Linked DNA regions of Neodiprion lecontei. The protein of the gene in region 1 purifies or fractionates together with the protein of each later gene. This does not show direct contact. Links are inferred from orthologs where the notes say so. Each region holds a gene or a part of one and is shown on either strand. Other genes may lie near its edges.

Region 1 (12,062 bases):
AACGGTTCAGAAAGGTTCAAACTAGAGTTCGAAGGTAGGCATGTGTAGTTTCAATGTAGAAACACTATAAAATGAACTGCAACGTTTTAATTTTAATCAAATCAGTTTGTCATTTGTACTCCTATAATCAGGAATTTGAGAACCCCAATTTTCTTTATTTCTGAAATTTCTGAAAAACAGAATAATAGAATATAACATACATGTTTCCCATTCTCTTTGAAACGTGATATACTAGAATAATTGGCTAGGATTTAAAAAAACCCTTTTATATGTTACAAGTGTGGCAAAACTGATTTTAAGTCTTTGTAAAATCGAATACATTTTGTAAAACATAGTCGCAAGTGTTTCAATTTATGTAAGATTCGTAAAGCATTATTTTTTCAAAGAACACTTTTGTTGTTCTATTGCTATGATGTTATCTTGGTTTTAACAGAGGTAAATCAGCGTTTGATCACTTGGCTCTGGACTGCCTGCAGAAAGTGGATTTATTGGCAGCGGCGAGATGCAATATGTTTAGTCACGCACTTGTTCTGTACCAAAGTACCTTGTTGAATTTTACCAAAAAATCTGCTCAAGCATATGCAACAATTGCAAACAGCTTCAAGGGCTACCAACAGTACGATTTTATGGTTGTAAAGGAACTTGCGGAGACTTCTATCAAACTGGCACAAAAAACAGGCGGCAACGAGGATCTGGATGACAAAGATAAGTGAGTGAACTAGCAATTTAGGTAATCTAAATGCTTCTACCAAAAACTGTTGGTTTTATATTGATATTATAGATTATTGTTCTTCGAGTCTGACTATCATGACAATGTGGAGGAAGCTCAAGAAGTGAAAGCAACTGATGAGAAGAAAACGGAAGCAGGTAACATCGAGAAAGATAATGATGAAAAATTACTGGATATTGGAGATGATTCGCATATTCCAGACAATACGGAATTGAGTCTTTCACAATTGAATTTGAATACTGACGATGAGAACAGAGATAAAGGTCTTCAGAGCTTTTTAAACAGCACCGAAGACAAGGAGCTTGCTGATTTCTTTAATAACATAGATCCACAGACCAAGAAATTGAACGAAGAGAAATCTGCAAAAAAGATAGACCAAGTAAAATTGGATGAAAGTCTGACACAGCTGGATTTGGCAATGGATTCATTTACTGGCACTGGTGTTGGTTTTGATTTTACCAACTCTCCACTCTTTAATCCTCAACAACAACAACCGCAAGCACCTCTTGACTTGTTAACTTCAGAAAGTGTAGCCTTATTTGAAGAAATTTTAAATACCACACCTACTACGAGTGCCAATGATTGGGAAATGATGTCTGGTGATACTTTCTTACCACCCGGTATATTGAAACAGAGTTTAGGAGCTGCCACACTTGGTACAAATCAGAAAGATCCTGTTAGCGCAAGCAACGACAATAAGGCGAGCACATAAACGAAATAAATTTTAATCTTAGTAAAATAATACTTGCTTCTATAGCAAGCATTGAATTTTCGAGACTTGCTATTGCTATTCACTAAGTAATAATTGCCAAACATTTTCATTTCAGCAGAACAAAAGTAAATCAAATAAAACAGGAAACTCTTGGCTGGACTTATTTGCTGAGTTAGATCCACTTGCCAACAATCCGATGGATAGTCTAATCAGCGATAGAAATGCCCCTGCTTAGTCCAACGTTTTTATATATATATATAAAATATTTGAACTAGTAATTCGTCATTATTTATATGATGTGGCCATGTTTAATTTTATACGGCGTTACAGGTCTGCCGTTGTTGAATACATTATATGGCCATTATTCCTAGTCATTTAGCATCCTTTAAATTTAAATTATACTTTTAGTTTTAGAAAATGTAACTTTTAATTATTATTGAGAGTGCAAAATATTGAAAGAAATCTCTATAATGTAAGTAAAAATAACCGAATTAAAAGTTACCTATATGTCTATTTGTACTTAATTGAAGTATCTATCGTTACTAACGAACATTCCGACATGGAGATGAGCATAGCAGTTTATAAAAAAAATTAGTGAAATATGTTCACGAATCTCGTACAATGTTTAAACACAGAGGAATTTATACCAAAGAGTTTCTACCGAAAATAATCGTATTATACATATTTAGATGTATTAGACTACATTCAAAATTCTACGGATTTGATCGTAATTTTTAATAATAATATATTATTACATTTTTACAGGAATTTATTATTTAAAAATGGCTCCTAGAAATACGAGACCACTCTTTGTTGTGTGGGTTTAAATTAATTTAATTTAATTACAAATTTTTCGATATTTTCTGTACTGTACTGATCACCTGTCAAATCCATTATGAAAAGGGACGTGTTGACCACAATAAAAGTATTACAAATGACGTTACGCTATTTCACGATGCATCAGTTACCCATACGATCCTTCACATTTTGACGTAAGGTAGTAACTGATATTTCACATTTGTCATTCCATAAAATGTATTACCATGATCAGTTTGTAATATTGTGTGATATCAATGGGATTCGTTTCAATGTTACTATCGTAAAAACTCCCAGGACGAAAAATGTTATAAAGACAAACAAATCTGCAGTAATTTGATTCAATTGATTAAAAGCTTTTTATCAATTGTACGAAAAAGAAATACGAAGGGAGACCTTACTCACAGGCATAGCTTAAAGCGAGATTTTTTTAAAATCTTGAGCACCTAATCTACAAACAGGGAGCACATAAAAGTACATAAACGATCACAGTATGGGCTGGGTTTGGATTTGAGTTTACAGTGACTGATTGTTATTTGTGAATTTTACGGTTGCCGAAGGAGGTTTAAGGAGTTAAAACCGTTTTAGTTGGTAACGTAACTGAATCAGTCGGTCGATTTTGTACTCAAGCATCGGTAAACTGAGACATGGCAGCCTTTACTCTGAAACGAAAAATAAATATAATTTTCAGTAAAAAGTTGACTTAGAAGTTTGTTCTGATATTTGAAGAAATTAAGGAACTGTTTCTCGTATTATTCGAGTTGGATAATTTCATAATAAAAAATCTTAAATATTTGTTTTTTTATTTATGATTCTGCATGATATAAAATCATAGAGTAAAAACAACTCGTACTCAAATTTTTTTGAACTATTCGAAAAAGTCAAACCCATTGAAAGTGTTAGCCTTTGTTGACAAAGTAAATTATGTAAGTGAATGGAGGATTGCAACTCATTATCTTTCATTATCTTCAACTGATCATAACTAATTTCTCGTCGTTGTAAAAATAAAGGTCGTAAAGGCCGAAAATTTTAGTGATTATATTTATGTACATGTACATACTTTTCGAATAGCTGTGAGTCCTTGGTGTGTCGTAATTGTTGTAAAATACGGTAAAGGCCTAGTTCGCGTAATCGTGCCTGACGTTGCGCAGCCCCGTCCTCTTCCCTCCAGACCAAATTACATACACAGAAAATAGCTGCCACTTGTAGCTTCACATTACTGTGCATCTGAAGACATTAAGATCGTTAATACTGATATATTTCTATTTGTTTTATGTCAATAGTTAGAAATATGATGTGATATGAATTGGTTTTGTTAGAAAAGAAACGGAGTAAATAATGTATGCACAAACCATGTAATCCATGAGTTTCTTCAAGACGTCTTCGTTTGCCATGATATGATCGCGTGCGCGATCCCCATCGGCGACATTTGCTAGAATACACAGAGCTTGCTCTTTGACATCAGCTGGGTGTTCAGGATCTTCCAATACCAGAATGACAGCTTGCATCACGTGGGCAGCATGCTCTGCCATAATACGATCAATGTGTGCCTTTGTTGACAGAAGATTTCGTAACAAGCCAAGTGTTTTCATTAGAACAGCCAATTCCGGATCAGCAAGTAGACGAAATATTTGATCGGTACCGAGACAAGAGAGGATTTGCGATTTGACACGCTGTTCAGCCTGGAAAGCCACATTCATCAGCGCCCAAATACCGTTTAGGCGTAGCGCAGGGTCTGGTCGCCTGGTCAATGAACATAACAACTCCACTCCACCTGATTCGAGAATAGGCTCCTTACTTGGGCTAAATTCCAATAGCAGGTTGCACAGGGTGCTAGAGGCCACAGTTAGCAAGTCCTCTTCGCCTTCTAATCCCCTACCTAATGGTGTAATATAGGTAATACAACCAAGAGCGATGGGAACCAAAACAATACTGATTGGAATAAAGTGCAGTACATCGGTTCCCTGTTGAGATGATGGCGCGACTCATGCCCTGCATCTCCAACTTCTAAATGACTCTTTCACAAATCTTCAATAAACATATGTGTATTGGAGTATTTTTCAATACTCAGGGCTGGCAGCAGAAAACTCTCAAAATAGTGAAGCAAGAGGTGCAATTTTGCAAAAATGAGTCAAGATTTATAGCAAAATAATGGAGATTGGAAAAATTTGGTAATTAGTTATGTTTTTGGTGTGCGTTTGATTACCGTTCTTACTTTTAATTAGTTTATTTACACCTTATGTTGTAAAACCCTGTCGTGAGTGCAGTCTTCAAAACAAACAATTTCTATTTGTTTTTTCTCATGGCCTTCTCAAAGTTTTAAAAATTGGCTCTGTTGAAAATTGATTAAGCTCGTGGGCCGACAAATATAGGACAAAGTCAGGAAATTTACAATGATATTTGTTAATTGCAGGTACTTGACGCAGTTTGTGCAATTGTAAAGCTCAATTACGATAAAATGACAGAAACTCGATGACAAATAGCGCACTATGATTAATCCAACTGTCAAAATTCAAATGCGACCTGCACCGCGCATAAATTGAATACACACTTAGCAAAATTGTCACTAAAAGAGAAATGTGACTCCTACCAGCGCTAATTAGATATTTTAATGGTGGTAAAACTAAATTGAGTAATCATGTTGAGTTATAGAAAAATTCTTAAGACCAATTTAAATGTATTACCGACTGTGGAGTTTCAAGGGCCAACGCGAACCGGAATGTAGCTATACGATGTGTCGTATCGTTTGCGTAACATACTGGCACTCTTTCCATATATCATAGGCTTATTGCGCTTAGCATTCGTACCCTCTAGTCCTCTGTCTGCTCCATGTAATAGTTGCATAAGTGGTCGCCATACTGCGTGATCTTGAAATGTGGTGCGCAGTTGTTGCACACTTCTCGATAGCGAGTGCAAGCATCGAACTGCCGCAAGTCGTACTCGTGGTCCACCGGGATCTTGCAAACCGCCCACCACCTGCTCCATCAAGTTCTCTGTTTCAATGATCCTCTTACGAATATCTTCATCATTTGCACCCAAAGATGCAAATGCTCTGAATGCCGCTTGGCGCATATCCTGCGAAAGCGTTGCATCTAGCACCTACAAGAAATAATGTAATGTAATTTTCACCTTTGCATGTTCAAAACTTAGTTAAGCTGATCACAAGTCTATTGAATAGATACGTGTAAGGATCACTGTACAGATATTCAGTTCAGTGTCTAAAATGCTCCAATTACGTTCTGAGGTTTTTTTTTTTGACGAACAAGATGCCTTAAATGACATAAAAAGTTTTTTTGCTTCGACTACGCTGCAACTATGAAAATTAAGAATTCTTACAGGGTGCGCGAGTAAAAATATTAGAAAAAGTTTGTATTATAATAATCTTACTGCACATACACTAAGCCTTCAAAATTGGAATAATTTGTTAGCATAATTACCGATGGATGTGGCTTCAGCAATTCTGCAAGGTTGGATATAAGGTGATTGCTAATAGATGCTAGTCGTTGTAGGTCCGTGTCGACTTCGGTCAGGTACGCGAGTGTTTCTGCTGCAGCCACTCTTTCTCTAGGAGGTCTTTCTCGATGACAAAGCCTTACCAAACAAGGCAGTGCCCTATATACAACTCGTGGATCTGTCGAAGTCAAAGCGCCAGCTCTATGCATATATGCAACGCACCGAGCTGCCTCGAGTTGGACTAGTGCGCTTCTTTCGCGACCCATCAGCTGGCCCAATGCAACTGGCACGGCTCTGTTCAGAATATAAGATAAATATAACAAAGAACATAGTGTGTAATTGCAGGCATAGAAGAATGCCAGATATCGAAAAATCCAATATATTTAACCAGGAATGCATTATTACTAGTTTTACAAATTCAGATCACGGTTTTTAGAGCAAATAGTACTTCAAATATTTCATACTACTTAATCATATTACTACTGAAATTTGGGTACTATTTATTCTATTACTGTTAAGAAACTGGAAAAAATGAAAATATAAAAACAGTTCAAATATTTATGAGTTGTATGAAAATCTATGATGAAATTACGAGAGTATTGTGACTGACTAAAATTGTCTGCAAATTACTCAATCTGATTAATTCAGGGTATAACTGACCTGCCTTGAGAGCTGTTGGTTGTAGCTGCAGCAACTAGTGCAGATACCGTGTGATTCTGATAGCACATATTTGCAAGGCAGGCGAGAGCTGGTAGTTGAACATCAGAAAGAGGAGAGTCTAGCTGCGTTGCAAGCGCACCAACAGCTCCACCTCGGGATAGTGCATTCTGCTCTTCAGCTGTCTGCTGTCGCGTTATACATAAATGAATCAAACATATCAATGAGTTCAGAAACATATTTATCATTTGGTACAGACTTTGGTTTGAAACAAGTATGTAGAGTTGTCATTGAAAATGTGTATGTATGGTTGATCGACTTTACTCACACTCATACTCGTTAGGCAAAGTCGCATGCACCTAATGAGTATAAGTGGGAGTAAAGTCGATCAACCACATATACACAATACTATCAATGTGCACAACAATAATACTAGACGAGAACGATTAACGTGACAACGGCGGGGATGCCTCGTGGTACAGTGGGTATAAGTCCATGGACAGGCTTCCGCTGGTCCCGGGTTCGATTCCCATGGTCATCCATTAATTTTTCTCATTGTAAATTTATTTCTTTCATATACGTTATCGAGAAAGTTCACTTCAAAAATTTTTGTATATTAATGTTGTTTACTTTCAGATGATAATAAGATGGGGAAAAAATATGTTGATTTAGATGAATTATTGGCTTGTATAACGTTGTAACTTACAAATTTTGAAACGTAATTGTTACTCTAATCCATACATATAAAGTGAGCGTAAGTTATATGCATTTTTCACAATTATTAATGAAAAATATCTCAAAATCGTGTTTTGCTCTACAGTAGAGCTTTCACAGTTTAATACTTTTCTTTGAATCACATTGCAACTTCTGTCGATTGTATTATCGCAGTGGTCGACTAATTATAAGATGAATTAGTGGCAGAACACAGTGAAAAGGGGAAAAAACGTATGACGATATGGAATATGACAAATTCTGCAACATTATTTCGTACTTGGCTATAATCTGACAATATTACTCTTCTTAGCTTTTCCTGAAAATTTCAAAAAGTATGCCTTACAATGTTATTCAAGCTAATGGTTCCAATTTTGCTTTCCCATTGAGGTAAAGAAATATAATTATCGATGATTCAGAGTTTGGATAAACTATATCCGAAGAATATGGGTGACAAAGAAATGTTTAGCATAATCGCAACAATATTATTATGACTATATTCATGGCTTATCCAAACTCTGGATTTCATAAAAAGCCTTTAGAAACCCTCGCAATATTAGCAAAAATTTAGTGACATCGTTGATGAATACACACATGGTTTTATACTTTCAAGATTTGTATGAAGATCTATACAACCACTGTACAAAAACTCAGAGATACCAATTAAAAATACCAGGATTGAGTTGATAAGAAGTAAGCAAAAACAAAAATTCAGCTACATATTGTAGACAAAGCTTTAAAGAATGCTGCAAAGATTGCACTAATATAGAATTAAAAAATTCCACGGAAGGAGATTAACATGTATTACAGGCACTTAAAACCAATCACATAAACCAGTTTTTCATTAATATGAGGTTGAAGGTTATTAATGCTACCATAACGAAAGGTGATCATCTTAATTTTGGAACTTCAGACTATTTTAGAAGATGTTAAATTGTAATGTATAATCAGTTTAATACTATGTTATAGTTTACTGAATTTCAGTTAATCCTAATGTTACGAAGTAATTACTGTTGCCAAAAATGTACTATAACAATACCATTACAAACTTCGACTTCTTCGATTAATGAGGGTTGATCACAGGAAGTTTCAGAGAAAGATATGATGCATCATTGCAACACGTAGTAATATGTAGCGCAAAAGTGAAAAAAAATCAGCACTATAAACGTGAATGAGAATAATCCTTAGTACCTTGCACGCTGCTGTTAAAATGGTAGCAACACACACTTGATTGGTAACAGATTTAGAAGCTAGTGCCAATAAGCGTGGAACCAATCCAGGATCCTGATATATAGCATGAACAGGGGCTGCTGTGTGGTGAAAAACGGTCCTCAAACATCTGAGACATGCTTCGACCAATGGTGTTTGATTATCATCGTCAGGTTCGTTACAACGATTGGTGCTGGCCAGCAGCACTTGCAGCAACAGTGGAACTACATTCAGTTCTATGAGCGCTCTGACATGCTGATCAGTTCCTTTCGCTAGGGAACCCAAAGTAACAGCAGATTCAAGCCGCACACGATCTCCTACTCTTCCGGTCGAGTCACTTAGCAACTGCAGCAGTCTAGGCACCACGCCTTGCGCTATAACTGAACCCTTTTGCCGATTGCTTCCAATGACTGAATTTTTTAGGCAGCTGTTGAAAATTAAATGCAAATGTAGACAAATTGATGTAAATGACCTGCTTTGAGGATAAATCATGAAATAATTTTGTTTATTTCACAAGGTTGAATGCTCATGTATGACTTAAAACGCTGCTGTTGGTCATTTCCAATGATCGATAAATTTATGGAATTGTAGAGTAAGAACAGTCCCGGAAAACGAAAACATTTTATAAAGCTGTGCATGGAAGAAATACTCTTAACAAAGAAGAGAATATTGCTCAGGGGTACTTGAAGTAAGGTATAATATATGACAAGTTATGACATGTAAGTGTCTAATGGATGGGAAATGAGACTAGATATTTTATGTCGATGAGACGTTTTGAGGTTAGGATAGTTGAAAAAATCGTTTATAGATACTCACATAATAGCCTCCAGGCATTTTTGGCCACTGGGAGAATATAACTCGTCGATGTAGCTTCTAGAACTTTCAACGTCCTAGAAATGCGATGACATATCATTGAATAATCGAAGTAAAACCGTTCATCGACATTCAAGATACAAGTAGTGAAAACGTCAAGTTGCAGGCCGGTTGTCACGTATCAGGCAATATTGTTGTATTGATATACTCACCATATACGGCTGCATCAACGAGACCATGGCTCTTTAAAATAGTAAATACACTATTACTCTTTAGATTAAGATATTTTCAGATCGCCATTTGACGCATGGAGTATTTAAATAATTTATTATTATTTTTACGTAGACGTAAACGCGCTTCTGCTACACAAGGTTACGAAACTTTTAGCCATGTCTGGCATTGAAGCGTGACGGTAATATGTGAACTAATCCGCATACGAACTAGGTTTGACTTAAAGCCTGGAGCACAAGAAACGACGTCTGCCGAACATGGATCTCTGTGAACCAGCCCCCTGACACACGCTGCTAAAAGTGGTTCGCAAAATGTCCCTCGATTCTGCCGCCGATCTCCACCACTAGTCACGCTAGTAGTTGTCTGACAAGCTTGCGCGCGGTCAGCGAGAGCAGCGAGCGTGTCAGAAGCACGGTCTTACATACAGGTCTGGTAACTCCGGCACTTTTGAGTGGTAGGGGGTGTCACCGGTAGTGAGGCACACGGTCTTGTTTCCTATCTATCCGCTAGGGGCGCCACTGGCCCGGGCTATGATAGATATAAATATATACCGATAAGATAACCTGCTCATCGAAGTTTTTGACAGTTCATAACTCAGTGTAAAGTGTGTAAACGGTGGATCATCTACACAAGATCTCAAACTGTCTCAAAAGTTGTGAGCCCTCGCTTGATGTTTATGGATTTTATTGACTTAAACATTTGAGAATTCCTTTAAAATAAAACAATTATCACGCCCGCCATGGAATGCTAATAAACATCTCAATCATTTTTATTCGCATCTTTCATCAGTTTTGAGTGTTATTCAGGATTGTTGATTCCGAAAAATCAGCTGTTCTTATCTGATTTATGATTGGCTCACCCCGAGGGGGCAGCGCTGCAGACGGCGAAGACGAGAACCACGGTTTTGCCTCATTATCTGAGTCATTCCCTACCCTACTAGTTTCCGGACCTGTATGTAAGACCGTGGTCAGAAGTCTACTAGCGCCACGTAGAGGAACTAAAAAACGGGGACAAAACGCGTACAATTTTTTAGTATATGAGCAGTGTTGAGTGTCAGGGGGCTGCTGAGAACGCATCCGTCCCATAGACTTATAGTGATAGGATACGCGGTTTTACGTGGCTACTGAAGCAGAGACCGAATGAGACCGAAGGACAGAGTTAGTTCTGTCCACGGTCTTACATACAGGTCTGGAAACTCTGGTGGTGGGGGCTGAACGCTTGAGAAATAGCATTTAATTCCCGTTGGAACCGCTAGAGGCGGGGTGGTAGAGTAAGGTTATTGGGAAAGAGATAGAAAAATTGCAGGGCAGTATCAACAAAGATTCTCCATCAAATTATATTGTTTCTAAAATTCTCGAGGTAAATGTTAAATGATATACTTGAAAACATCTTTAAGTACATTTGGAAAATTTGGGAAATTTATAGGTTGTGTTTGCAAACATTACCTTACGACAGTGCGAACTAGCGGCAGCGTCGAAAAACCAAAAATGCGGCGTAAGCGTATTTCCCTCACCTCGCAAATTTCGATGAGTTTCAAGACCTGGGCCGTGTTCGACGATCTCTTCTTTTTGATGAATTCCTTCAAAATGATAGGAGCGCATGCGCAGAACGTACTTCTTGCTGCGCGAGACCGGCACTTGCGTAAATTATTACAATGAGAATATAACCTCAAAACCTGGGTAAATTGGTCAAACCACGAATCGAACACTGTTGGTATTGTTTTCACTGGCGATTTTCCTTTATACCTAGAACAAAAGATGTCTCAGAAGCAACAAGTTATGGTAAAACACATAACTTGTTGACACATTTTACCAGGTGTTGAGGTTATATCCTCATTGTAATAATTTGCGCATGTGCCGGTCTCGCGCAGCAGGAAGTACGTTCTGCGCATGCGCTCCTATCATTTTGAAGAAGTTCATCAAAAAGAAGAGACCGTCGAACACGGCCCTGTATGTAAGACCGTGGTTAAGACGGACTCAAAAAAACAGGAGTGTCAGGGGGTTGAGCGAGAGATGCCTCCGTCACCATTGGCGTATAGTATGGCCATAGTATGGACTATGCCTAGACCAGTAAAGGGCGTGTTCGGAAATTGACTGAAAGTACTGTCATTACTGAAAATGGTGAAAATCCAAGTGACGTATACTGTAGATTTTCAGTACTGACAGTACTTTCAGTCAATTTCCGAACACGCGCAAAATATGGTCGGCTGGTAGAAAGAGACAGCGATTAGAGTGGAATGAGAGTGGAGGTCAATCTTTGTTTCTTTCTATTCAAGAACGCAGTAGTATGATTTAGGGCCCTTAAACGCACTATAAGGTGACGCGAGTAAACAGTCGCTCCTTTTCTTGGATTTTCGCCAGATCTTCTTACGACGTTGAGCCATACTGACCGTATTGGCTCAGGTGCTAACACTCGTGACTGCGGAGCGGGAGGACTCGAGTTCAAATCCCCGGCCTACCGATTGGCTCCTGAATGGTACTTGCAAAAATGTAAAACGGATCGCGCTGTTTAGGCGCTGCATTGCTGGTCGGTGTTTTGGACTGGGGTCTGGCTACACCTGAACAAGGTATTCGGCAGTTTCCATTATCCCTCGTGCAAATGCGGGTGTTTCTATCTACCACTGCCAACGCCCTGCTCTACTTTACTCTTACTTCCAGGTATTAAGCGACTGACTTACGGAATCACCGATTCTTTGCTAATATACTTAAAATACAAGGCATTCTAACATAA
Region 2 (6,904 bases), on another chromosome or scaffold:
GTGAAAATGAAAAACTTGAGCGTTTCTCAAACTCAGAATGACGATATCTTTCCGATGGGTATAGCGTATAAATAATGATTGATGTTGTGAGTGCGACAAGGGTGGACAGGAGGACAAGCGGGGTGAATTATTATATATTTTCTTTGCTAACTCCGAAACCATCGAATTATCGATTCATTTTTCACCGGAAACTAAACTCGCGATTTTAACATTTGATTCTGTGAGTCAAAATATGTTTATACATATAAAGCTTGAAGAAAAAACGGAAAGTAAAATAATAAAATATTTTCTCGGAAGTATGAAAAACTCTCTTGTCTCAAGGACCGCAAGAAAAGTTGTTTCATATCGTTGTACAATAATAACGAACAATAATGATCGACTACCCCAGCGTTTTAGCGTATTTTAAAAATCGCGTACCGCAGAATGTCGATAAAGAAGTGTTGACGTATCATAGTTAAGGGTATATAACACGTCGTGTAGTTATCACGTGTATAATATACATGCGTACGTGTATACCGTAAAAGTTATTCGAAAAAAATAAACGTAAGTTCGGTTTATTGATTTAAAATTGCCAAATGACATGATACGTTACATGTTTGTACACATTGCGACTGTTTGCCTATTCCTTTAATAATTATACTAAACATAACACGGTTGAACTGCATGTACGCGAGGTGTTGATAATTGAAAGAAGAAAATAAATAATTCAATGAATAAATAAGAACTGTTAAATCTGCCGCAGACATCACCGCACGCATTATGCAAGGGAAGTGTTGTTATGTTTCGTTTTTTGCTACCTCGCGGAACTAGCATAAGTCGTGCCCCATCCAAAATCGAGGTAACTGGCTTGAAGAACAGGCAGAGAAAACGATTCGACGTGTAAAATTGTAGAACCGTTATTGATCTTTGCGGAGCGAGAAACCTGCACGTTGAAGCATACCCCGAATATATACGAGCGAAAACAGAAAAAAGAATAAAACAAAAAAAAAATAAATAAAATAAAAAACCCAAGAAAGACGACAAGAGAAAATAAAATGGAATAAGGTAATAATAATAACAACAATAATGATAACCGAACACATTATATGGCGATGAATGTGCAGAGGGTCGACGAACGAGGGTGGAAGTGGGAGAAGGAGGGAAAAGCGGGGGCAGAGACTTCGTAAACAGAAGGCATATATAAACATATACATATGATATAGCTTAGAGTGCAGAGAAAACTGTGGAAAGAAGCTAACGAAAATCTCCGTTGCGTTAGACAAAGTGCTAAAACAACGACGACGACGACCGCGAATTGATTCTTTGAGTCGTAGTGGTAAGTATTCTTACCACCTATTTTATATCCATTTTTTGTATATTTAGAGAACTTTGAAAACATGTTTCTTTGCGGTTTTTTACTATTTCTAATAGTATACCAATAGGTTTTCAATTCTCGAGAGTAATTATTGCGACACAATGTAAGTTATTATTATTAGAAATAAATTGATTGAAAAAAATATTGAAAACTGAAGGAATAATTGATTTCTAAGAAACATCCTTCTACACATATACATGTTTAACATAAAGTATAAGATTTGGGGTCGCTAATTACGAATCTGTAATTGTATTTAAAAGATTCAAAATGGCTGATCCAATATGGCGAATGAAAATTTCAAACTCAATAGAATCCGGAGAAAAAAACTCTGTCCCGGGGTTTTTGGAGTCGCTAATTACGAATGTGAAACCAGATTTCGAAAATTCAGTACCACGAATCTAATCAGCGACCCCGAAGACTCCTGCATAGTTTTTTGAACTGGATTCTGTCAAATTTGAAATTTTAGGCCGCCATATTGGCTCCGCCATCTTGAATTTGTGAAATCTAATTTCAGATTCGTAATCAGCGATCCCAAAAACATATAATACTGTCTTGTTACAAATGTTGACTCGGCACAATAATCTGTAACTCCAAGGGTTAATATGCCGTCTTCCTTTTAGCGCGCGTTATATTTATTATGTACATTCTAGCCGCTCAATCAGCTGTTTAAGAACAGCTGTATGACCGTATAATATCATCTACCTGAACATATATACATACATACATACACTCTGCATTCGTGTTACGAGATGGGTAAAAGCGCAGCCGCCAGTTTCGCGAACAGTAGTGAAAGAGAGAAAAAAAAAACTGAGAATCGATTTCAAAATGGCAGAGAGCAAAGCAAAAAGTGATAGAATGACGAAACAAACAGAATGAAGACTATCGCGAAAACATGGTTTGGCGGAAAAGGTTGAAAATAAAATGAAAGTTGAATCGCTCGCGTAGAATTGAAAATGAGAAAACTTTCAATAGGCTAGAGAACGGGGGAAAAGAGAAAGTTTTTGGAATACGCCAGAAAAAAAGAAAAAAAAAAAAGAAAGAGAGGCAAAGTATAGACGTACGCTGTGAGAGAGCGCGCTGCGGCCCAAAGTATAGTTGTACGCTGTAGGAGAGAGAAAGAGGGGCGAAGTATAGTCGTGCGCTGTGAGTGAGAGAGACCGCTGCTGCCGTCTCCCACCCCAAGCGCTGAGACAGAGAGAGAGAGCGCGCGCACACGCTGGAATAGAGAGAGAGAGAGAGAGAGGGAGATCGCGCGCACTATAGCAAACGAGCACTATAGCCAAAAAGTGTCGGTTTTTTGGTGTCGTTTTTTTCCGCCTAGCCCCTACGGTGAACGAGCGATAAGGAACTTCGTTCCAAAAGAAACAAGGATTTTAAAAACTATCTGCAAATTGTAAAAATTATGCATCCTGCAAGAAATTACGTCGAATTTGTGTTTTCTTATTCTTACTACTCTCGATTTTCTGACCTCTGAAGTGATAAAAATTTTTAAACGCGTGCACGTACAAGAGGCACGTATTATACATGTTCGTGTGTACAGCAATCAGCTGGTTGTTAAAAACAGCTGTGCGGTAGACGGAGAAAGACAGAAAAGGAGGGATGGAGAACTAGCGACGGCGTTGAGGAGGGGATGCACCAGGGGCGTAACAACTGGGGCCCCCTAATATCGACGGGCATGTAAACTGGTTAGGAAACATGAGTGAATGATGATGAAATTGGAGAAAATTTTGAACGAAATTACACGCATTGAAAACGAAGACGATTAGAAAGGAAGGACGATGGTGATTGGAAGTATGAAAGGATATACGAGAGGTCGGAGCATGGTTAAAATGAATAATTTATTTTACACATAGGTATTATGTATGTATGCATGTGTAAAGGTACGTGGATGCATGCGGATGGACGCGTTACTGACGAAACGTCGAATGAATGACTTATCGGATTCTCTAACAACGTCTGGTGTATCGCAATTTATAACACGTGTGTCAATAATAATTATTATTTTCTACAGTATGTTACATATTATGCATCATGTATACTGGCAATGTTTTATGAGTCAAGGATACAATTTGATGACATCGGTGTCCATACGTCGTTTTCCAGCGCTTGGTGACGACATGTTTCTTGTTTAATAGTGACAACAACAACAACAACAACGACGACAACCAAAACACGAAGGGGAAAAAAATGTACTAAAATAAATAGAAATTAAAATATAAATAAATAAATATCCAAAACTTTTATCGTATCGGTAGATCGGCTTGCCGATCGAGTGCTGGGTCTGCTTATGTGACAGCGACGATGACGGTAAACACGATCGGGGGGATTATATTTCTCCTCCAGTCTGTTCGGCGTAACATTAACACTGTCTACACGATTAGACGGATAAAAAGAAATATATTCTTTAGGTATTTTTCACCTCCACTACTGTTAGCAATATTTCAATAATCAGGTTCGCCAGATTTTCCGAAAACCCGCAGCAGCACACTGAACTTTAGGTTATTTCACTTATTTTTATTCTTCACGTTGTTCCGAACTGTCATTGACGTTGTAAATTTGTGAATTGTTATAATCCGAGCACACTGAATCACACTTTGGTGGACAATTGATCACCCTCTCGTCGTTTAATTAACTAAGGTAGGACGACCTGGTTTGATGAAATCATGAAATTGCAGCAGACCTTGCGGTCATCACAACTTTATACACATGGGCGGTCGGTTCTACGAGTGGGCGAAGAAGTGGGGGGTGGGATGTGAAGTAAGGCGGTGAGGAGGGGAACTAAGGAGTATAAAAACACGTCGCGACGCAGAAGCCAAGTAGATAAGAGAGAAGAATGATTAAAATTGAGAATTGGAATTAAAGCAAAGAAAATTAAAGATGACGAAGCGACTCGGGGAAAACGATCGACAATGCAAGTAAATTCACGCAGGGTGATCCGCTGATTGTGAGCGAGAAAAGGATAGATAGACGGAGAAAGAGGGAGACAAAGAATCGAGCAGCTGCGTAGCCAGAAACAAAACACGTCCGAGTTTCATGTGTAATTCATGTGTGGGTAGAGTTAGTTAATGTATGTATACATCAAATGTATGCACGCGTATATTTTAAAACCTATGCGCAGCCAGAGGATACCAACAGCGATTGAGATTCGTTGACGTTCCTTTGTTGTCGCGTTATGTATACCTCACTATCTATACTATTTATCGGAAAGAAGATATGTGTACGTGATTTTTTCTTTCTTGTTTTTTTTTTGTGAAAAGAAAACACTATCGAAGAAAGAAGCGATCTCCCTTACCGACAACGAGATCCACGTAATTATCGAAGTGGCTAGCCAGCTAGCTGGCCTAGGTTATTGAAAAAACCGTCAGTCCGCACGTAGCGTAAAACCGAACGATTCCTCTTTGTCACCAAACTCCACTGCAACCCTCACAGGAGAACGACGAGTTTACGCTAATGCTAGATAATCATTTCGACGAGGATTGATTGGTGGGCTGATTTTCTTTAACCCGACGTACGTACGGTGTACGTTCGTATGTATGTTACACACGATGCACGACGACGACGCGACGATCTATGCATACACATATACGCGCTCCGTTTTTCCCTTAGTTATTATGTATGCAGGCGAGGTTTTTCAAAATTCGCTACGGGCTCTTCTTTATTATGCCTTCCCGACCCAGTTCGATTTCAACACAATTTTACTGCACTTCGAACCTGTTCGTCTTATTTTCTTTCTAGTTCGCCTGTCGCACATATACCATATTCCAGAACTCTACTACAGTTTTCTCATCGTTTTCGCTCTCACACTCGCACTCCGCGACCTGTCAGCCCTCTGACTTGGCGCATCTGACTGACTGTTTCACCTAGCATCCCACCACCGCGCGCCTCCATCCCTCTCCAAATCGACGGGGTCGTGTAGCTCTTTGTCGCGCGAACACGCTGCGCACTCCTACGTTGACATACCTATGTATCCATGCAGTATCGTGGGCTGCTTGTGTACCACACACACAAACACACGCACACCATCCGCAGATTGCATGTATCTGTCCTTTTTCTCTCTCCTCTCTTCAAAACTTGTTTTGAAAGGTGGCGCCAGCAGCTGCCAGCAGGTGGGAAGGAATTCTCCACCTTAGAGCATATACTACTGGAGAGAGCTGATCATCCCATCGATCTCGCGAAAAATACAGCGGAAGTAGTGAGAGATAGATATATACTAGGGCGTGTGTAGGGTTACTCTGCGTCTCTCACTCTGCTTTTGATTGGCTTAGAGAAAACGTATCGGCCAATCAGGTGTGGAGCGAGAGAGATAGATTATAACAAACATATACCTCTTTCTCTCTCACTCCTCCGCTACACTCTCTGTATACGCAAGCTACCTTCAGAACTCCTCATGTGCAGTAACATCCTATGTAGCTATTACGGGTACGAACAAATCCCACGAATATTCCCTATTATTTTCTAGAAATTGGTGGCTGTTGGGCAAAAGCTATAACGAACCTACCACCCGTAAACCTAATAGACGTAATACCCTGTAGCGTATTTCGGAATAACGGATAATTGGTTTGGAATGATGAATTGCAATTTAAATATAGCCCCCTTGTATTTATCAGGTTCTCCTAGTTAGATACGGCTGACGGCCAACAGTCTCAGGACTATCGGACATTTTATTTCTCCGTAAAAATCCTGGATTTTTTACCGCACTTCAGACTTTTGCTCGGTTTTCATCAGTTTTCATACCATTGATAGCAAATAATAGAACCCACGCCGAGAAGCGTTATTTCGATTAGTTTCGACTTGGATCGTTGACAGCGCTCGGAATCCAATGCTATACTAAGGTAATATTTTTAGGCCGTACACTAATAGTCTTTTGCGGTCTTTGAAACACAAAACAAGTTTTGTAATTATTATTGGCAATATTTCTGTTGCCCAACGCCGAACAGCCAATGTACGGAATCATTGAAGTGCTAGATGTTCTTTTAATTTGTCACTTCAAGTCACTTCGTTTACTCTACCGGTAGAGAATATAAATTAACCTAACCCATCGTGTGTTAGTCGAACGGTTGACGTTAATTTACGTAAATTACAAGACTACAAAATTTCATAATTCGGATATTTAATAGCTTCGTTTTTCTTCTTTTCCTCCATTTTATCAAGGATGAAAGAAAAATATATTACAAAACATACGATACATATATGGTCGTTTCCGAAATGAAATATTTTACAAATTGTGAATTAACTATGAAATATGAGTTTCGTCCATTTTTTTTTTACAGATTTTAAATGTATTAACAGAATGTATGTAACAGAATTCAATTCAATTATGACAATTGCTAGTATCGTTATCAAACACGCACGTAATGACACAATACTAAAAGTTCTGTCTTCAAATTATTAAAAACGCGTTTTCTTCCTCATTTTTTTTCTGGCTAACTATTCCCTAGTAAAAAACAATTTAAGTTGTTTTCAAAAGTCTAGAAAGAAGTAAGGATGCGTATACGTATATATATATATATAATCACAGTGAAATTTTAAAAACACATATTCTTGTTAAAA
Region 3 (9,649 bases), on another chromosome or scaffold:
CTGAAGTTCGATCAGTAAATATACATAGATGTATATCTAGTCCATCACTATAATCATAATAACACCTTTGATCAAATTTGAACTAAAAATTGTCAAATCGTTTGAATAATCATTTGAAATTATCAGACACCGGTTATATCGTACTGAGTACGTCAATGTTTCCTATCCTGGCTGCGCCAGACAATATTATATTTTATTGTGAACTATATGTACAATTACACGTATAACTAATATACTCTACAAACTGCAGTAGCAGACCTTTGATACTTGGTAAAATAATACTTTTTTTTTATGTATACAATTATACACCTTGTCTTTTCATTATTTCAATCAACTTTATATGAGCTTACTTTTTACATATTACACCTGGCCACTTCAGGACTAAACTCTAATGGATTTAATTTTCGTGGGGGACAATCCTTCATATTAAGCAATGGAGACAATAAAAATGAAGAAAGAAAAACGAGAGAACTGTTGATGGATGAATTTGAATCACTTCGATTACTGAAATATGTGTATGTGTACAGTGTACGATTAGTAACCAGTTTCATTTAGGCCAAATATTTTTATATTGTCATCATTTAATTGAATGTCATCGCATATATTATCATTCTTTAAGGACATATCTGTCAGTCATCAACATTTATTAGTATGTATAGTAATTTATCATCAATAATTATATTTAACGTCATATTCTTGCCTTATTACAAGAACGATAGAATTCGTTTTCAGATGTGCCTGTCCAAATTGCTTTTTACGTACTTCAATTGAGAAAAACTGGTTCTAAGATTTTACGACGGAACATTGAATTGTAGTTATGCCAGCTCGGCATTGTGACAGTAATTTGTTTGTACCACGAAATAAACCATTGATTTGAGCCGTTGTGAAATAGATTATATCAATGACCCAAAATATCGCAAAGTCTGCAATGTAGTCAAGACAATCGATGGCGAAGTGTAAGCAAACATTTTAATTAAGTGAAAACATGTAGAGAGATATTTTTACCTTCTAATTCAAACACGTAATTCTCCACTTACATTACGGTGAAGCGTTTTAGCGGCGTATTTTACATTCTTCATGCTTAAACTTACAAAAACAACTGTTTCCAGAACCTAATTAGTTTTATACCCAGCTTCAATCACCGATTTGTAAATAACATTGAATACATGTAATTTGCCTTATGTAAGGTTGGCATCGTTGTTGCTACATTTTCTCACTGAACTTCTTTTTCTCATTTTTTAGTATTCCTACTCTCTTCGGCAATTAAACAACAGTCTCAAGTTTGGTAATTATGAATACATAAAAAATTATTCCAAGATGTGTATAAAATGTAATGAGCTGCTTAGACTTTTTGAAATTTGATTTGTACTTAAAATCAAAAGATTGAGTCAAACCGTTTGGAATTCAAAAATATACAAAGTTTTTGCGAACCATGATTTCGAGCAAATCTAGCAAAGATGAACGAAGTATAGAATTCATAATTGAAACTGACAATTGAGTGTCATGCTGTGGTTCATTGGTGATATTGGATACCAGGTTCGATTCCTGGCTCCGTCGTTAATTTTTCAACTCACCTGAAAATTTCGAAATTGTACTCTTCAACTAGCAAATTTTTCTCGCTATAAATATGATATGTTGTATTTCATATCAGCAAAAATGAACGGCCCGCCGTTCAAAATTGCTAAATTAATGTAATTCACATTAATAGCCACATACAGACGTCACATGTGTGCACATGTCAACAAGCTTCACACACAAAGTCAAAATATGTGCTATCGTGATGAACTTTAAATGTAAATATATTCAAGGGCACACGAAAACGAACAATGTTTGAAATACAGGTGATGAGAGAAATTAATGACATGTAGTCAGGGCGGCTAGGTGGTCTAGTGGAGTAAGTCTCCGGTAAAGCATCTCTAGATACCAGGTTCGATTCCTGGCTCCGTCGTTAATTTTTCAACTCACCTGAAAATTTCGAAATTGTACTCTTCAACTAGATATTGGAGTTTGTGACTCATTTGTCTAAGATATTATAAAGTAGCAACACGTTGCGGCCACACCCACGAATATTTTCCAATGCGTTTTGTGGCAAAACTATTAGACATAGACACATGCTCTCGCTACTATTTAACAGAGTTCATTGACACCTTGAAAACACTGGAGTATAATGTTTTTTATCTGTAAGAGTTCAGTCAGCAGTCACAAAAGTGTGTAGTCCTGTTCCGCCTTGGCTTACGAATGTTATTATATCGCCAAAGCTATTGATCTGGTTGTAAAAAAATATAATCTATCCATAGGAAAAAAGAATCAGTCGGTTCAGTAATTCTGGAGTTATAAGGTAACATCCGCACAAGCAAACAGAAGGATGTTGAGTTTCATGTACATATGTAGTTAAGAGAAGGAAGAGATGACTCATAACAAATGAAATTTACGGTAATTTCATGATGATTTACATATTTATTGAACATAAAGATGCTATTCAGCGAAAACAGTCTGAAGTACTCTCATACCGAATTTCTGATCAAATTAAATATTCCCAACCGAAATCAACACTCTTCGGGATTAATAATATGGCATTTTCCTCTGCATTATTGTGATTCAAACACAGGAATCTTCAATACATGTGATACAGTTTGTACACACAAATATCCAATATAGTGACAGCATAAACGCTGTATGTCGTGGAGAATAATTCGCTGAAATAGAAACTATAATTTTTCACTGAAAATAGATTTTATTTTACGATTAAGGTGTAGCATACAAGAAGTGATAATTTTTTATTCAAAATTCACATGAGAGAATGAGATAGAGAAAAAAAAGATTCTACTTTATATTATACACTTGAAAATATTTATAGTACGAGTATTTTACATGACGTAAACTTTTTCAATCTTCTTATATGGGAATACTTCTTTGGTTTTCGGACAGATGACAGTTCCATTGTTTTCCTGTGCCATTTTCTCTAAAGCCTGTAAATATTACATTTTTAGCAACGATACTGGTTAAATCTACTTTACACTTTTTTTTTGTATTAACAATTGCCGCCATAAATTTTTATTTATTGCATGTCTCCGCAACTCGACCTTTTCTTTTCTTCAGTGACTGAAATGATTCAAAAGCTTTGACCTGGTTCCAAAAAGTGAAAACATTGCTACAAATGTTCGTAATCGAGAAAAAAATTTAATTCACTATATTATGGATGGAAAAAAAAAAAAAAAAAAATGAAAACCGGGGTAACTCACATGTTCACCATATACATATCCATTAGGCATCATCATTGGTTGGTTGTATTCATTCAGTGGTTTGCCGCTGATACTGCAGACAAGTCGAGATTGCGAACAATGAGCAAAAGGTAGAGTAGTTGCAAGTTCGTTTAATGCCTCGTTACAAACTGGGCAACTCGGATTTTTGCCTTCCCTGTTAACGCTGTAGCATTGTGGAGTTTTAAGAGCGGACAAACCAGCCTGCAATGCCACAGTGAATACACTTTGACTAGCCAGTTGAAATAGCCTGTAGTTTTCATGGCGAAACTGTTCAATCAACCTTTCCCATCTGAAGAACAAATTTTTTTTGTGATTAAAACTATTGCAAAGAAACAAGAAGAAAACGTCGATGTTGATGAAAATGTTTATTCCTACTGGGGACTGAGTTAGGATAGTTAGCATATATTGTCTTAGTCGATCATCCTACAACAATTCGACCTAAACTGCAAATCCTTTTCAAGAAACTTACTTTCCACCATAGGAAGTGTGAAGTACGCTGAAAGGTTCAGATTTTTTGGAAATCGTCTTAGCAGGTATAAAGTGCTACTTGACGCCTGCAAAACATGAACATTTTGCGTGGATACTTTACGCTTATTATGACGAATAATAATGTTCACACCTTTGGAACAAAAGTACTATTAATTACCTGGAATATTCAGGATTCACATAGGCAAACAAACAAGAACACAAAAACTAGTCAAAACTTACATTATTTTAATCAGGGGAGGCAAGTTGTTTTGAGGTGGAAAAAAATGTAAACATCACTTATTCTTCAGATACGAACTCAAATTTCTTGGCCAGTTATCCTTTCGAATCAAGGCCCCAACTTCAAAACCTGTTTCGAGTTCAAGTGCTACGAAAAGTAAGGGTCCCTGTATTTACTACTTATGTTACATTAGCCTAATTATAACTTTGAAGTCTTAATTTTTTTCTTTTCCTATATCAGGAGTCGCTTGATTTTATTAATAGAGATGCTTAACGCATGCTCTCGGAAGGAGTCGCATAGTTCGAGTGAAAATATTGGAGGATGATCGATTAAAAAAACGTGTGATTACTACCTTGACTTGATGGCAAATATAAACATTATATAAGACATCGAAGAGAATTCTACATGTAAACATCGATATCAAATTCAATTTACAGATTTAAAAAAATTTTTTTACGATCAATCCGAATTAGGTAAATTAATAACAATACAATCATTTATAATCTAAACTCTGAATAAACTGAAACACAAATTGTAATATAAAACTGAATTTATCGAAAAGTTACTAAAATAACATTAAAACAAGGTACATTCTAGAATCTAATTGAACCAATTAATGAATCGCACCTTTTTTCGTCAAGCAAATCTTTATAAGGACTCAATTCTGTGTTTACTGGAAATGCCAATAGCCCCATACAGCACTGAATTTCTTGAAGCTGGTAGTCATCATAGTTGGCAAAGCACTTCCTGGCATGTTTTACCGCATCTAGTCGACGATCTGCTCGTACCAATTCAACAAACTCTTGTACACGTACGTTGAACTCCATAGTGCTGCCCAGCTTGCGCAGCTTGGACCGATTATCATGACACCATCCCAAGCATCTTGTTGTCTCATGATTGGCCAAAGATTTTTCCACCTCTCTTGATACCATAAACACATCTGGAATAAAGATGAAGAGGTAAGGTAAGTCTGGTATGACGGGAATTTTAAAAGTACTAAAATAAAATTAAGTTAAAAGATTAATGAGATTTTATATTAAAGATGTGATAAAGATCAATATGTAATCTTGAAGTTTAACTTTCATTCTTTCTAGATTAGAGTTAGTTCGTTGGCATGTTTTGATCACCAATCCACACAAGGCCTTGAGTAATTGTGGAAAAGTAAAATTTTTACTTCGTTTTTTTGATATCAAAATGATGGGGTTAAAAATTACAGATGTTCTTAAAAAAACGTTCTACTAATAGGTAAAATCAAGAATGTCACCTCTGTACGATTGAGTCATTTTAAAATAGCTAATACCTAAACTGGTAAAGAATGCGGAATGAATGAAGTACAAAATAAATATGATTATCATTACATAGGTATTTTTATAATTGCACGAATTTTTCAGAAAGGAAAAGATAGTTTACAGTACGTGTTTCAATAGTCAGGAATTATCCTTCAGACAACATTACTGTTTACCAATGTTAGTCAGATCCCTTAATTCGCTATTATCAGCCAACTTGGTGGCAGTCGTATAGTATCCCTTGCGTAAGAAATATTCAACCAGCATCCTGTCCAGTCTTTGTCTTCTCCACTGGTTGACAGCACTTGGCGCTGTATTGGCATGTTCCTTCAAGTGATCCAGTCGTCTTTTGCAGACCATACCAGCCTGTAGCTCTTCTGCGATTGATTCTTGTGCTTTACGCTTGAGCACTTGAAGTCTAGCTACAACACCTCCTAACAGACGAGTTATTTCGCCGCTGGCCACCCCCCCTGATTCTCCCACTAATCCTTTCTCCAATTCGTTTGCCGCTGTCTGGACATGAGAAACTTCACGATCCAAAGTCTTTTGAGCTGATCGAAATTTTTTATTTAATAGCTCGTACGGCACCTAGAACACAATTAATTGTAAATTGGATCAGATATTCACACAGCTTGTATTGTTGATATCGGTTTTCAGTAAGCTTTGTTCAATAATTGGAAACTAAATACAAAATTTAATCAATCTTTGAAAATATTGGAGTGATGTGTGGAATTATAGGAAGTTCTCTCTTGACAATTTTTGACAATAATCGATTGTTTTTCAGTATTACAAGCCAAACCAATTGTTAAATGCAGATTTTTTCATTTTTGTATAAGAATCTGTTGACAAAAACTGTTCATCCATTGTGTCGTCTCCCTGTAATCAGTGCAGGATATTATAATTCGTGAGATTGCATGCGGTACATGATTTGATGGGAATAAAATGATGCTATTTGTGAATTTTTACATTTTGTATGTCTTACATATTTATATCTGAATTTTGACAATATCTCAGCTAGAGGAGAAGGTCAAGCTATGCGTTAATTGAATCATTACTTTGTCATTTAAATAACACAAGCCAGTGAAAATTTTTGTTCTCTAGTTCTCGTTAATCTTGGACAAATTTCTGAGAAACATCTTGAAGGTGTGGACGAAGAAACAACGATAGACAAGCGTGAAATGTTCCAAAAAATCGATCCTTCGGAAAAATGAATAAAAAATCATCTTGGATTAAATAAAAAAGGTATGCTCAGTACCACAGAGATTCCGGAATTTTTTTATTAACATCATTCGAAGTACGTCTAATATTTTTCATGCTTGAAGTTCTAATGTAGGATGCAGAAAATAGTTGTTATTCTAAGTGTGTTTTAACGATGAAAATGATAATGTGTCGAAGTTTTATATAAAAATGGGATAAGCTGAGTGTAAAGCGAAAAATAATTATAATTGGTGTTATTTCTAAATGTCTTATAATTCAGCTATTTCAAAATAGTATTATTAATAATAAATGGTCTGCAATCTGTGGACTTGATATTTTACATCAAAATAAGAATATACGAGGCGCGTAAAATATCTTGACAATACAGAACAAGTACGAATTGTAATCGGCTGTAGTAATCCAAGGTCAAGCAGGGAATAAATTGTTTCAGTTATAAATAGGAGAAAAAAAAAAAAAAATCAGATCTGCCATGTGTACCTCGACAATAGCGTTATCATCAACTGTGAATACATTATTCAGACAGGGTAGAAATGGCATTGAGTAAGTGAATACAAATAGTATTCTTCATGTTTTTGATACACCATAAATTGAAAGTAGTATTTACTTGTCAAGAAATGACAAAAAGAAAGAAAGAAAAACTACCGTAAGACTGACCATCACAAACTACAAACGAGTGATTTACACAAAAAACAATGCAAAGATGAAGTCTGCCTTTGGGCGAGAAAAAAAATTCTTACGCGGGTGTGTATGACAGTTATTCAAAGAATTATTCGTCAATCTTATCATACTTTCATAAAAAACGATAACAATATTGGGAAGTTCAGATAACGGCTGTAAAAGGAAACCTTTTTTGTTTGCCTGAATATTATAAGTGTCTGAAAGAAGAAAATTTTCCCATCGTGTAGCCGAGTTTGATGAATTCGAAGAGGATTCAGGTTCAGCCATCATAATAAATTCTGACGTTTCGAAGTGACGAAACATGCTTATTTACCTTCAAAGTTGGGTGCTCCAAGCTCTTAACGTCCGACATGTTCAATTCTCTTCGAATTAAATCGCTCCAATTTGATTCAAATTATTCTCTGATGTCGTGTAGTGTCAAAGAATTGCCAGTGGAACGCCTTGACGGACTACGCATTAGTAGCTGAAATCAAAACCCGTCCATTATCTTCCAGCTGACTGGTGTAAACAGACCTCGGACCATACACTCCAAACAGACTATGCTACGGATTTGCGTTTATACAAGACTTGACTGCAGTTTCGCCTAACTTGGTGCTACACGCGAGTAAATAATGAACTTGCAACATTTGTGTTTCTCGAACAGATGGCGCCATTCGAAAGATTGCCAGTCGACATCTCCACGTTGTACAACTGCTTTGTATCGTCACTTGAAACGTGTTAATTGTTGCCGCTGAATTACCTCTCTTGCTCAGTGATGCAATTACCAATTTGTCAATCTGCGTGATACTAATTATCAATTAAAAACAATACAGTTTTGCGGTCAAGCGAAAGGTATGTACATACCTATACATACTACACGTAGAAAGAACAAATCCGTACGACACAACTTCCCGATGCATCGAAACGACAGCGCGTTGCTTACGAAGATATAAACGACGAGTGATGAGTGAGCTTTCGACGTGAGCGAGGCTAATCCTGTTTGAAAATACTCTGAAATAAAAATCGCGTGGTTTGCGAAACGTGTCGGAAGGGGTATCGGCGAACATCCATCCATAGCTGGTTTGACGATCGGCGGATATTCGAACGGTGAAAATACATTGGACAACATTTGTAATTCAGTCGTTCGTATTATTTCGGCGATGATCGGAGGCGCGCGCTACTCGCTCGGGGGGGCCGCCATTTTCCTCCAGTGAGGGAGAGAGTCGCTCGGCCGTGCTTCGCAAGCGTTCTCTGTTAATTATTACTTATTTCGGTTGACAATTGAGTGACTTTCGCGAGTGCGGGGTGTCGGGTGGGCGCGCGGGACCCTTGGGCCCAAATTGTGCAACCAAAAGCCCAAAGTAACAAGAAAAACTCGGGTTAAACCGGGACCAAACACCGAAACGCCAAGTGCGCCCGACTAACATTGTGTGCCGTGATTCGAAGGGTGATTCTCCAACGGCGAAATATTACACCGTCACTCATCTCGGCGAATGATTGATTCGTTAGAAAGAGGTACGTAGACAAATCCCTACATAATTCCGGTGCATAATCAGCGATAGTTTTACCGGGTTCCTGGCTAGGATGCCTACGCTCTGCCATCCATGCGTCTTTCTTCGCAGGCAAACGCAATAAGCATCGGGCAAGCAGGCGGGTAGATAGATGCACAGATAGGTGGCCTAGCTATAGCCGAAGAATATCCGAAGCGCGCGTGTCTGCGCTCCAATTCATTCGTGGGTGTTACGTGTTCGTGAAAAGATGCGTGGTTTACGTCGCTGATATGGCGGGAGTAGAGACGCTTCGGCAGCCACGCGCATTTATTTCATTCCTCCCCCTTAATACGCGCACTTGTCGGCTATTCGACCGACGGCCGCGGCGTTCTACCATCGCCTAACCGCCAGCTATCGCCATTACGTTACACTTGTCGCTTTCCTTCTTCGCCAAACTTTTACCTTTTACATTTATTTCTTATCTACCCCCTCCTTCCGTTCTCCCTTACCACTCCTCCCCTCTCGTTTCTCTCTCTCTCTCCCGCTCTCTCTCTATCTTTGCTTCTGTTACACCGTAGTTTACTCGTTAAACACGACTTCACTGGCTTCTTTAATATCGGGCCAATCGACGTCTTTAATTCGCGTTACCATGGAAGAAGAAATTGTGGCAACTTTCTCAACAATGACGATCAGACTATTTCGGCCATAACTTTTCATCATTTGTTCTATTCTTTAATTCCTTAATTTCTAGTTGTGTTAATTTCGGACAACAAAAACGAGTCTGTTGAAACTTGAATTTCAAACTTGAGTTCGGAACGCATGTATGATACCAACACCACGTGCCTCCTTCATTGTTACACTATACCGTTAATTGTACGACTGAGTAGAGAACACTTTTACCGAAGAAATGATTCATTTATAATTCATTAAACGTACGTACGTTCGTTCGTCGCGTCCGATCATTTTCGCACTGTGCGAAATAATACTTGACATACCTACATTGCTGTCGAGGATCGTTGAGTTTGGTTT

What was found.
Region 2: the proteins of armadillo repeat-containing protein 8 (region 1) and ubiquitin-conjugating enzyme E2 H purify together in Homo sapiens (affinity purification with mass spectrometry; 3 studies listed by BioGRID and IntAct, with this or other methods). This does not show direct contact. The link is inferred for Neodiprion lecontei from reciprocal best matches to the Homo sapiens genes ARMC8 and UBE2H.
Region 3: the proteins of armadillo repeat-containing protein 8 (region 1) and E3 ubiquitin-protein transferase MAEA purify together in Homo sapiens (affinity purification with mass spectrometry; 5 studies listed by BioGRID and IntAct, with this or other methods). This does not show direct contact. The link is inferred for Neodiprion lecontei from reciprocal best matches to the Homo sapiens genes ARMC8 and MAEA.

Annotation. Positions count from the first base shown.
Region 1 is NC_060265.1:17,570,602-17,582,663, reverse strand, and holds armadillo repeat-containing protein 8, read right to left. Parts: upstream 9,594-12,062; 5' UTR 9,341-9,593; coding exon 9,314-9,340; intron 9,179-9,313; coding exon 9,105-9,178; intron 8,716-9,104; coding exon 8,271-8,715; intron 6,554-8,270; coding exon 6,372-6,553; intron 6,006-6,371; coding exon 5,696-6,005; intron 5,358-5,695; coding exon 5,066-5,357; intron 4,138-5,065; coding exon 3,611-4,137; intron 3,486-3,610; coding exon 3,319-3,485; intron 2,921-3,318; coding exon 2,884-2,920; 3' UTR 2,171-2,883; downstream 1-2,170. Other genes in the region: islet cell autoantigen 1-like protein, read left to right, coding at 1-34, 434-709, 782-1,430, 1,558-1,677. UniProt on the Homo sapiens protein: Component of the CTLH E3 ubiquitin-protein ligase complex that selectively accepts ubiquitin from UBE2H and mediates ubiquitination and subsequent proteasomal degradation of the transcription factor HBP1.
Region 2 is NC_060264.1:30,548,974-30,555,877, reverse strand, and holds the start of ubiquitin-conjugating enzyme E2 H, read right to left. Parts: upstream 5,215-6,904; 5' UTR 4,647-5,214; intron 4,641-4,646; exon of another isoform or gene 4,002-4,640; 5' UTR 3,474-4,001; coding exon 3,421-3,473; intron 1-3,420. UniProt on the Homo sapiens protein: Accepts ubiquitin from the E1 complex and catalyzes its covalent attachment to other proteins. E2 ubiquitin conjugating enzyme that transfers ubiquitin to MAEA, a core component of the CTLH E3 ubiquitin-protein ligase complex.
Region 3 is NC_060260.1:13,757,965-13,767,613, reverse strand, and holds E3 ubiquitin-protein transferase MAEA, read right to left. Parts: upstream 7,707-9,649; 5' UTR 7,504-7,706; coding exon 7,465-7,503; intron 5,844-7,464; coding exon 5,432-5,843; intron 4,910-5,431; coding exon 4,597-4,909; intron 3,553-4,596; coding exon 3,243-3,552; intron 2,970-3,242; coding exon 2,868-2,969; 3' UTR 2,715-2,867; downstream 1-2,714. Other genes in the region: equilibrative nucleoside transporter 1, read left to right, coding at 380-555.